Arabidopsis thaliana: one gene and its partner. The protein of the gene in region 2 interacts with the protein of the main gene of each other region in a biochemical or structural test. Each region holds a gene or a part of one and is shown on either strand. Other genes may lie near its edges.

The links. Proteins that work in one complex are often made in the same cells at the same time.
Region 1: the proteins of SOBER1 (region 2) and AT3G09980 form a complex in vitro, tested with the Arabidopsis thaliana proteins (one study listed by BioGRID).

Annotation. Positions count from the first base shown.
Region 1 is NC_003074.8:3,066,101-3,072,031, forward strand, and holds AT3G09980 (ankyrin repeat 30A-like protein (DUF662)), read left to right. Parts: upstream 1-2,989; 5' UTR 2,990-3,257; coding exon 3,258-3,527; intron 3,528-4,152; coding exon 4,153-4,263; intron 4,264-4,359; coding exon 4,360-4,440; intron 4,441-4,970; coding exon 4,971-5,045; 3' UTR 5,046-5,431; downstream 5,432-5,931.
Region 2 is NC_003075.7:11,785,951-11,792,331, forward strand, and holds SOBER1 (carboxylesterase), read right to left. Parts: upstream 3,363-6,381; 5' UTR 3,303-3,362; coding exon 3,020-3,302; intron 2,671-3,019; coding exon 2,618-2,670; intron 2,425-2,617; coding exon 2,301-2,424; intron 2,171-2,300; coding exon 2,049-2,170; intron 1,952-2,048; coding exon 1,844-1,951; intron 1,709-1,843; coding exon 1,610-1,708; 3' UTR 1,349-1,609; downstream 1-1,348. Other genes in the region: AT4G22305 (alpha/beta-Hydrolases superfamily protein), read right to left, coding at 3,596-3,727, 3,823-3,930, 4,008-4,129, 4,259-4,382, 4,611-4,663, 4,958-5,105; AT4G22310 (Uncharacterized protein family (UPF0041)), read left to right, coding at 5,493-5,547, 5,948-6,046, 6,222-6,274. UniProt on the Arabidopsis thaliana protein: Carboxylesterase.

The DNA of each region.
Region 1 (5,931 bases), on a different chromosome or scaffold from region 2:
AGATTTCCATAATTACGAGTTTCGACAATATTATGTACAGAGTTCTGTTGGTACAATACAACACCAAAGAATTTCCAGACAGCAATCTAGACTAGATCACTTCTTTCTCTGGCAATTATTTGTTTATGTCAAAACAGATCATCTTTTTGACATTAATAGAAAGTTTCGTTCATTTGGGTCATTCAAGTAATCAAGTGTACATTGATTCTTAGGAGTGGATTTTAATTTTCGGTAAAAAGGTTTATGTAGTAACTCAATGTATATGATAAATAGTTTAATGTCAACAGTCGAAATTCCAATCCTAGAAATACTCAACTTCGACAAAAAAAAAAATGGTAAGTGGCTAAGTGCACCAGTTCCCGGAAGTTAATCCAAAGAGTTAAATCATTATTTTTCGGCACCAAAAAATATGCGCAGTATAGTAGATCCATGATATAGAGTTGTTGACCAACATATAAAGGTTATTTTTAAACATAGTATTATATATTGGAAATATTCATCTGATCATCTCTATGATTAATTACCATCATCGTAATTAACGAAGAAACATAAACAAAGAAATGATATGTCTCATATGGACGAAGAAGAAAGATTGAAAGAATGGGAAGTATCTTTGCATTTTGGCAGTTACGCTAATCCAACTGACATCCCCAAAGATTCTGGCCCCTACGAAACCATTGTTGTCGCTGTATGTATATACATTTGATTCCTTACAATATTCTAAGTACATAAATGTTATGGTAATAAATTGATGGGTCCTTTTAGTCAAAAATAATAATATTGCTTGGGCAGACTCTTGTTTAATAGGGAGTGTATACATTTAAGGTTCGAATGATCGCAGAACAATGGGAAACGTTTTCAACTTTTTATTTCTGAAATTTTTTGCGTCATAAAGTACAAAGATTCCGTAATAATTACCATTAACTATAATATATTCGTAATAAAATTATCTGGCATGGACATTGGAGAGGGAGACATACATACGACATATCATTGATTTAATGGAAAATATGAGGTTTGATGAGAGACAGCAAATCATTTTTCATGAGACCATTAAATCCTAAGTAAGTGCTGATGCTGGCAATTAGGTATAAAGTCGATATCCTCTTCCTCAATCACGTTCATAATCATCACAATTAAGAGTTATATTATTAAGAGAATCAATAAAATTTTGTGCAAAATTTCTTAATAGAAAGTAAAGTTTAAACGGTGAAGCATGGAAGACGTATTCGATTGGTGGCAAACGCTTTCAACACACTATTCGATTTAAGTTTTGTTTCTTATTTGAACATTAAAAACTAACCATTTTGCGATCATTTAACTTACAAAAAATCTGGTTTAAGTTGTTAGATAAACACATCATCAGTTACACTTATTCCGTTGTAGATATTCAGAATGTTACATAATTTTAATATAATTTACTTAGAAAACAAGGACAAGTTGGGATCCATAAAAGAATAATTAAAGAAAAAGTATGGGCTCCAAATGATAATCTGGTGCACGCGATAACACAAACACCGGTTTAGTGGGTCCTTTGTGGCAGAGAAGCACACGTCGAGTAAGGAAGGATCACCCTCTTTCTATGTCTTTGATCGGCTCAATCCCCACCGTACATTCTAATCTCTACGATTTGGCTTTGCTTCGAACAAGTTTATTCCTTAAGGAAGTTAACGGACCTTAGCTCAGTTTGATCACAAATAAAAAAAATTCAGGTCGAGCTCAATCAACCAAACCGTATAATACTAACTCACACTTGAAATCTGTTTTTGATTATTAGACTACATACAAGACATTAGAGACTTGTAAAACAATATATTGGTTTTATGTCGATTAGTAGGTAATCTATCTTTCTAACCCTAGCTAATTAAAACAACAAAACCTTAGCTTGCCAAAGCTCATCCATTAATTGAAAAAAGATCTACTAAGTAAGTATAGTTTTGTATATACTAATTTGTGGGACAAACAAAATTTCAAAATGGCTAATGAGGACAAGATTTATACCCCACCATTAAAACAATGTGACTAGTTATACATCGAGTTGATATGATGGCTAGCTTAGAGGAATAATTTATAGTATACTACATTGAAATAAAAGTAAATTCCATTAAGAGAGAAAAGGAAAAAAAAAAAGTGAAGAAAAAAAAGAAATATTCTTGCTTCGAAGGCCCGTAGTTGAAGCCGTTGGCTGAGTGGGCTACTGCTCTTTACCTTCGTTTTTACGTTTCTCCTCTCTCTTTTTTCTATTGATAACTTTCTTTTATCGAAAGAGAATAACAAATTCATTAGCAAAACGCTTACTTGAGTACCTCTAAATTTACCAAAGTAAATTAAGTTTGACCACTTTTATCGGATACACGTCGAAAAACCTATAAGATTTACCTCTCTTATTATTATTTTTCTGTTGGATCACAATTAGTATAATACTTTAAAATTTATACTAGTAAAGAATATTGGGATATATATTCTCATAGTATATTTATTATTAGAAGATCATTTTATTATTCTCATTTTCTCAATTTTCTTCAATATAAGTTATATAACCGTGGACCATAGTTTCTTTCTTTGTCAACAATTATGTAATGTGGTTCTAATAAATGAAAAATAACTCAATAGTGTGTATGCTCAGCAATGGAATACCTAATTCAAGTCATTAAAGAGAGAGAAAAAAAAATCACGACGATTGGTAAATGTTAATGGACCAATGGAAAACCAGAATTAAATTACCGGTTAAGTTTGGTTCGGAATTGACGGTTTAGACGGGACAGCTGAGTTGTTAACGAGCTGTCACCGGATTCTACGGGTCACCCGTTTTGCTTCCTTCATCAGATAATAAAAAGATCCAACGGTTACAATAATCAGATTCTCTTCCCTTTATTCCTACTTTTTATTTTTGATTTTTTCTTTAAAACCCTCACTGTATCTTTTTATCGGTTGTTGGTGGCAGTTAGGTAATTTCACCTAATAACCTTTTTTTTTTTGCCTGTTATCTCTTTTTAATATACGTTTCAATATATTTTAATTATTATTAAAAAGTTCCCGTTATACGAATAAAATAGCATTTAATATATTTTTGTTTCTGGAAAATGTGTAATTATCTTTATATAAATGTTCATATCAGAGCACTATTTCTGGGTTTCAAAAAGAAAGCTCAGTTAGCTATTTTCTCTACCACAGAAGAATCTAGACCCAGAGAGAGAGAGAGAGAGAGAGAGAGAGATCAGTAACGAGAGAGTCAAAGAGAGGAGATTTCAGTGAAGATGAAGGAGATGCAGGCAATAGAGACGTCGCAGCCGACGACGGTGGCTCCGGCGGTGCATAGCCGACAATTGGGAGCTCAGTTGTCGGGAAGTATGAGTTTCAGCAGCCAAATGTCGAAGGAAGATGAGGAGATGTCTAGAACTGCGTTATCTGCGTTTAGAGCGAAAGAAGAAGAGATCGAGAAGAAGAAGATGGAGATTAGGGAAAGGGTTCAAGCTCAGCTTGGTCGTGTCGAAGAAGAGACTAAGCGTCTTGCTTTGATCCGTGAGGTATGTATCTATATTGGTTATTTCATATATAAAAAAAAGATTGTTTTTTTTTTGGAGAATTGTGCTTCAATTTTGGTTTTTGTTATGGAAATTTTTTGGATTGGGATGTGAAATTGAACATTTGGGGTTTTTATATTGTATAGAATGTGGATTTAATTCATGTTTAAGGGGAAATTGTAGGACCCAACTGTTGGAAATTTCAAGATCTGACAATTGCATTGAACAAATTCTTTTATAATTTTCCTTTGGTTTTTGTGTGGTTTATGCCATTTGGGGAGAAAATTTTGGGGCTTTTGTGTTTGTTTTAGGATTTTAAATGATCAATAGCAAGTAAACCTGGATTTGCTAAAAATAAGCTATTTGGATTAAGTTTTTTGTGAAAAGAACCATTTGCTTCTTCTGGGTGATGTTAAAGTTTATGAATCTGGTCTTAGTCTCTGGTTTTAGTACTTTTTCCCCTCAATTTATGGGCAGAACAGTGAAAGTTTCTACATTTATAGCACTACTTGATAGAGATTAGCTCTGTGGATCAAAGCTCTTTCCTTTCTATGAAAAGAACAATTTGCTTTTCCTGGGTGATGTTATGTTGATGACTAAGAAGCTCAGTGGTTAAACTGCATTTCAGGAACTTGAAGGATTAGCTGATCCCATGAGGAAAGAAGTTGCTATGGTTAGGAAGAAGATTGATTCTGTCAACAAAGAATTAAAGCCATTGGGCCATACAGTTCAGAAAAAGGTAAGGCTAAAACATAATCAAATCCATTGACCTGTGTTTAAAATATGTTTTGTTGAGGATTCAGATGCTAAGCTGGTTTATTTACGCAACTTGCAGGAACGAGAGTACAAAGAAGCTCTTGAAGCATTCAACGAAAAGAACAGGGAGAAGGTGCAGCTAATCACCAGGCTAATGGAGGTTAGTCAACAAATGCTCAAGTCTCTTTTCGTTGAGTTTGAATGATTGAGTTAACTGGTCTAGTTATTGTACTGCTTCTCTCTGATTTTTGGTTGTGTTGTCCTTTATTTTTTCACATTACCCTTGCTTGTGTGGATAAACACATTAAGCTAATTATTGTCTTGTAGCTCTGTTCTGAGAGACATGCATCAAACACCGATAGTTTTAGGCATATTTGTGATCTTGCGGATTCAGTGTTTAGTAGATTTTGATGTTGAGTTCTTGGACCGGTCTGTGTGTTTGCTTAAAGCTATGTGTGAGTCATCTCCATAGTTAGCGGAATCAGTTCCTTCAAACTCTATCTAAGTGTCTTCTTTTTGTATGAGTTACATCGATCGTTCTTGCCATTTTCTAACATAATTTGTCTGTAAACTGAACATATTCATCAAACCAGTCCACTCTGATCTGTGTCGAATATATTCATTTTGTTATGTGTTCTTAACTTGAATTGCGTTCTTGACTTAACGGTTTCCGATTCGAATGATTCGCAGTTGGTGGGAGAAAGCGAAAAGATGAGAATGAAGAAGCTGGAAGAGCTAAGCAAGAACATAGATTCTATACACTGACTTTGAATCCAAGACAGTACAAGAACTTCTTGGGCCAGAGATCATTCTCTGAGTGTTTTAACTCTACGTTTAGGTTTGGTGGTGGTGAATGTAATTTATATTTTATAATCGTCGTGTGTTATATTACTACTACAATTATTATCTTTGTTAGGGGTTCTTGGAGAATTTATAAGTGTAATGTGGTTTTTTTAGGAAGTAACTTCAAAAAATACTCATCAAGACAGGTTTGTAACTAAACGCTTCTTCTTCTTTTCTCTGAACTATCTTTCTCTCTTTATTGTCCTTTCAATTGATTTTTTACTTATCTCTCTTTAAAACTATTGTTCTGACATTTGTAGCATAATGTACAAAATGTTAGGTATTAAGAAAAGTGGAAATTTGTTTATATCATGTGCGCTGGGAAAGCTATAAAGATTAATAGAACATTGTGTAACTTGTGCGATCGATCGGTAGGTTAAGTTAAAAAAGATGGCATCACGAGATCAGATGTGATCTATATGTCGACCTTTTCCGAATTTGGTTTTATTCCAAAATGACCGTTAGAGAAAAATGATTGTTTCATGAGGAAGGAAATTCATAAAAATAATATCCAGAAGGCAAACCTTTATTTGTTTATCATTAAATATGTCCTCAACATTTTGACATGTAACCATTTATCTGATATTAATATCAAATATAAATCATATGATTAATGAGAAAATTATATAAACCATACTATAATTATAAACCAGACGTTTTGTTCATTATTTGATGGAGGGTGCAATAATAAGACATTAATGATCAAATAATCAATGATGATGTGGCTATTGCAATGGGAGACATAGATATCATCGTAAAAGAAACAAAAAAAATTCCTTTATTGTTTTGTGCAGCCTTTATTTTCATT
Region 2 (6,381 bases):
GTAGCCAAGTTAGTTAGAGGTTTTGGTCTTTGATTGGTTCATTTGTAACAGTAATCGCCTACTTGGCGCTTTTTTATTTTACAGTTTTTTCCTGTTTGTTTCAAGAATTTGCTAAATTACCCTTATACTTTTGTTTTGTTTTAATTTTCGATTTGAAACTAATTTACTTCAAATTTATTCTGAAAATTTTATACAGTAGTATGAATAAAAACTATGTATTATATAACACAACTGAAAACTGTTCATGCACAGACTGCAATCCAAATATAATGATTTCAATTTGACCAATGCAAGAAGAAAAAAACCATCACATGTGATATTTTAAGAATTACTATTTTGGACTATGGTCTTTGTATATATTTCAAAAAAGAGTATCAATATCCAATATCTTTGCCTCGATAATTGTCACGAGAAAGTTAAACTTTGACCCTTGTTACAATACAACCTTGGACTTCAAATTGAAAGATCGAAATTTTTGTTAGTATTTGGTTTGTTTCAAAAGAAGATGATTAGAGTTTTGTTGTTGGAGTCACAAGAATTGATAGATTCGATTGATATTAACAAAGTAATAGACTTCTCTTTGGTAGGACCATCACCAACGGCCCAATGCCAGCATTTCAATAATCATAACAAGTTCATGCACGTATAATTGTTATTTATCTTTCCCTTGTTACTATATTGTCTAAAATTGCAAATTTTAATTTACATTACACGTGATCTATATAATCAAATTCCTAATGATTGCACTAATTGAAAGCACTATAAAAATATACAGTACAGTACAAATATTAGCGGGCTAGATCAAATCAAATTTGAATATTTCTTTGGACTCAGATTCTTTATTTCTAGCTGTCACTATAGTGTCAAGATTCTGTAATATTTGAGATGGTGAAAGGGTAATTCTTGAAAATCACTTATAGTCGGTGGGTGCTTGGGGAGAGAATCCAAAGAGATAATATGGGCGCAAATGGGAAATTATGTGTTTTGACGAAAATAACCCTGTACTATCAACAGACCATGCAAACTCATTTGGATTTTTTTGGTCGGATCTAATAATATTTAACTATTTATATGGTTTCAAACTTAGATGTCGACCATATATATGCTAAAACTTCATTATTCAGAATCTCAGATCGTTGTTTGTATATGGTGACTTATTATGATATGATTCTTTGTCTTCTTTTCTACGATAAATAATTGAATTTTTATAGTTACGGAAACACCATTTCACAAAAATTTGTAAACAATTGTCATTGGTAACTATTTACCCGACAAAAACTGTAAATTTGAGTGAACATATGCAGGTTTTGTTTTGGTCAGATTTTGCATTTTGAACACAATTCGAGTTATGTAGTCACTTGATTTGTTGACTAAATAAAAGAATTCTAGTGTTGACATATAATTTTTCAAATCAATGCAAAGTACGCAAAATGTTGTAGTTAACAAAAGTAACGGTTTACATAACCAAACAAGATTGGTTCAACCAGAACCGGTTTTCATGATAGAGAAACTTGGACCAGAGATGAGCTGATGTTATCATTTTTCTTCTAATCTTGATAGGTACTAGGATGTTGTTACCTTGAGTACAAAGTTGCCTTTAAAAACCATTTTATGAAGAAGAAGAAGAGCTCTGCATCCGTTGTTTTAACCATGACTCCAGATACTGCAGCTCCTCATTACTGATTGAGTGTCCAAGACCCGGATAAGCCTGCAGATAAACGAACTCTCTTTAGATATACATTTCCAAGAATCGGTTTCTAAGATCTTTCCATGTGATCAGTATTGACTGCTCTGTTATATGAGCAAATATATGAGTGTTTGATTTGAGTTCTTATTGTTATACCTTGAATTCACAAGTCACACCCGCTTGTTGAAGAAAAGGAAGAGCTGCTTGACCAGCTTCGAATAGTACAGTCTTGTCATCAATGCCATGAGACCACAAGATTGGTGTCTGCATATGCAAAATTTAGAGACTCAGATACCCAAAAAACAGTGACAGGAAAATCAACATTTACCCTTTACAAGAAACCGAAAAACGAATGAACAACCTTTTTAGCATCTTCGGTAAACTGATTGGTGATCGAAGAATTGAATGGAATCCATCCGCTAAAGACTGCACCTCCTCCAATAGTTTTAGGGTAAAGAAGAACACTCGCCAAGGTTAATGCACCTGCAGAAAATCTTATTCAGGAGTCGCAATACAAATAAATCAACACATTGTAGCTTTGCAGTTTAAAGAAAAATTGGAAGGTGTAAATCCATGAAAATGGGTAACTATGGAGGGTGCTAAGAGAAATCACCTCCTTGGCTAAATCCACAGATATACACATTTTCTGGATTGATTCCTCCTGCAATCTCCTTATCTATAATGGCATGAACGTTCTTAACTGCTTTAAGCAAACTGCTTTCATCTTTCGGAGATCCCTAACACATAAAAACTTACTTACTTGATGACTTAAAATATCTCTAGAACAGAACAAACTCCTTAATAAGCTAAAGCAGCCTGTTCTTTGTACATTATAAACCTTAAAATCTACTAAACAAGTACTGATGACCCCAAACTATATTAGAAAATCTGAAGCTACAAATTTAGAAAGTATTGAACAAGAAGTGTTACCGCAGTAAGAGGAAGCTCAGGGATGTCAAACCAAGAAGGCATCACTGCACCATCTGCACAAGACAAATTAAGAGGCAAAGGCACAATATTTAGCAAGTACATAAGATTTCTCATGAAAAAGTATGAATCTTTACTCAATTTTGTCCACTGCATTTACCAATGAGGGAGGATTTAGATGACTAAGCCATAATTTGATAAATGAATCACACATCAAAGCACTAAATCCAAAAGAAAGACACACTAGTATCATTCCTATAGTAAGGACTAGACCTAAAAGTTCGAATTATTTAGGAGAATGCAAATTTGTTCAGCTCAATCAATTCAAAAACGATGATCAAAGTCAACGCCTAGAGAAGAAAGAAACGAACAACACCAAAATCAGAAAGTAAAGGGCAATCATACAATTGCAAGAGACTGGATTTGGTGGAGCAGAAGGGAAGAGCCACTTAGTGTTTCTAAACTCCTGGGACCTGAAAAGTGTTTTGATGGGTTCGTTGGCAGGTCCGGAATCACCTAGCCCGTGAAGCCATAAGATGAAGGTTCGAGCCATGGAGTCTCGGTTCCGTAAAGCAGAGGTAGATGATACGTCAGATTTGTTTAGGAAGAAGAATGCGAAGAAGAAGACAGAGCTCAATAGTGCGATAGTGAGAAGAACAATCGGCTTCTTCAGTCTACTTGTTCGCATGCCTTCACCATTTTCTCTCGAGATCGATCTCTCAAAAAATGTTTTGTTTTGGAGAATGTCTAAATGACTAAAATGCCCTCAATGTTAAAAGATTATCAAATTTGTTGGCTATGTTTTATGTTCTCATGTTCACACTCAAGATTGCAAATGTATTCCAATGCTTGCATATACATAATTCAAATCGATACAATCATACTAGAAGGACACAGCAAACAAAACCATACGAGGAGCTTAGAATTGTCAATCTTCTTCTTCTTGTCTTCATAGACGACATGTAGGTATTATTATTACCTTCAGTGGAACATTTCTTTAAGACAATTAAGTTGGAGACAAGTAGACGACGAACCTTTCAACCGTCTCTTGATCCATGACTCTATATACTTCAGCTCCTTATTGCTGATCGAGTGCCCGAGACCAGGATATGCCTGCAGATAAACAAATCACCTTAGAAGTATAAATAATTGTACATTGGAGTTCTATCATGCATTTGTCTCGAAAAAGAGTTTTGATTTGAATATACCTTGAATTCACAGGTAACACCGGCTTCTTTGAGAAAAGGAAGAGCAGCTTGACCAGCTTCAAAGAGTACCATTCTGTCATCAGTGCCATGAGACCACAAGATTGGTGTCTGCATATTGCAAAGTCTGAAGACTCAGAAACACAAAAACATTGATCAACGTTTATAAGAAAACATAAGTGAGGAACCTTCTTAGCCTCTTCGGGAAACTGACTGATGATTGAAGAAGTGAATGGAACCCATCCACTTAGGACGGCACCTCCTCCAAGAGTTTTTGGGTAAAGCAGAACACTAGCCAAGGTTAATGCTCCTACAAGAAAATTCTTATTAGGCGCCACAATGCAAGGTTCTTAAGACATAAGTGGATTCAGACCGATATAAAAAGGTCTCTCTACAAAGAATATTGAAAAGACAAAGAATTCATGAAAAGAGAAACAACCTCCTTGGCTTAATCCACAGATAAACACGTTTTCTGGATTAGTTCCTTCTGCAATCTCCTGGTCTATAATGGCATGAACATTCTTAACTGCTTCAAGCACGCTGCTTTCATCAATTGGAGAGCCCTAACATACATAAAAGTTGCACACTTATTGTGATTTCATAAAATCTCTTGAAAATGCAAGAGTGCTCTGCTCTTTACACAATCTGCTGAACAAGTGTTGATTCTAGATAATGCGTCATAAGGTTTAACAAACCAAAAGGTGCTAACTTGGAGCTACCAGCCCATTAACTATTTGCCAATTCATACTATAAGAGGCGTTAGATAGATCAAGAGTGAAGTGAAGTAATACCACTTTAAAAGGAAGTTCAGGAACGTCAAACCAAGAACGCATCACCGCACCATCTGCACAAGAAAGTATAGAAAGACATAAGCTTTTTTCAGACACATATGGATTAAGAGACATGACACCAACAGATACCACAGAGAAATCAAAGATAATCAAATTGTGTACATTTGACTAAATGTCTTTCAAATTAACAGAATGTGACAAATCTCCTTCACATCACAGAGGCAAATAATAACGCTAAATCAAAATGGCATGAAGTGGAGACCGAACCCTGTAGCCCAAATCAAACCATAAACCATGAACAACGAAATCAATGAATGCAAATCGAAAATAGAAAAGGAAGAACGTACTGTTGCAGGTAACCGGATTGAATGGAGCAGAAGGGAAGAGCCAACTAGCGTTACTTAACTCCGAGGATTTGAATTGAGTTTGGATGGGTTCATTAGCAGGTCCAGAATCTCCCAACCCGTGAAGCCACAAGATGAAAGTTCGAGCCATCGTGCTTGAGTTCCGTGAAGAAGAAGAAAGAAAGATAAAGAAGATGAAAAGTGCTCACTATCGATAGGCTTCGTCTGTGTATTCCTTCGCATGTTAAAATCGCCTGAAACTTTGCCATTTCAATGGCGATTTTGTCTCTCAAAGTCTTCGCGACGACTTTCAAAGTAGAAACTACAAAGTCCACTAGGACAAGAGTGAAAAGTACCAAAATACCCTCGGTTGTCGTTTTATGTCCGAAACGACATCGTACATAGCTGCAGCCCTTTTTTGTTAGTGTTTTAAGCCAGACAGGGAGAGAGAAGGGAGAAGAATCTCGCGAGAGACAGAAAGGGACGATTATTGGTTGGTGAAATTTAGAGCATTTTTGGGAATTGGGTAAACTTTTCGATGGCGACTTCGAAGCTTCAAGCTATTTGGAATCACCCTGCCGGACCTAAAACCAGTGAGTCAATTCCACGATGATTAGCTTTCCTCATCGATTTCGATGATTCATTTTTTTTTTGTTGGTTCATGTAAAATTGACGATTCAATTATGGATAATTGAGCAATCTACATCTCCTTGGAATCTGTTGTTAGTTTTGTCTTTTATAAGTTCCACTTTCTCGTCTTTTCGATTTTTCTGGTGAATCCTGATTTGTTTCTACTAAAAAAAAAACAAACACTTTTTGATGAATTTTGACTTTCGATTAGTTCTCGAGGATGGATTGATTTGTTGCTTATGGTCCAGGAGAATCACTCTTTGCTTTATAATGGGTTTCATAAGTGATAGATTCCGTTACCAATTCACGTCACTCGTGTCTCAGAACATCAAACAATAAGACTCTCATTTTGTGTTTTCTCAGTTCATTTCTGGGCACCAACGTTCAAGTGGGGTATTAGCATTGCCAACATTGCAGACTTTGCCAAACCTCCAGAGAAACTTTCCTATCCTCAACAAATCGGTATGTATTATTCTATCATCTTCTTAATCTGCAGAAGGTTACTCCTCTGTTTTGAATTGTGGACTTTTATAGGCTTATCATATTCCCCATAGTTGTCATTGTTCCTTGATCAGTTTCATTGTGTTGCACTGCCTTCAATGTACTTTCAAATATTCTCTGATATTTCTTGCATCAGCGGTTACATGCACTGGTGTTATTTGGTCTCGTTACAGCATGGTAATCAATCCGGTAAGTTTCCTTACATTCCCTTTCAAAATTCAATCTATTTTTAGTATTGTAAGACTCTCTTATCATGATCTTCTCCCTTGCGTTTGCGATGAGATGTTAGTGATTGT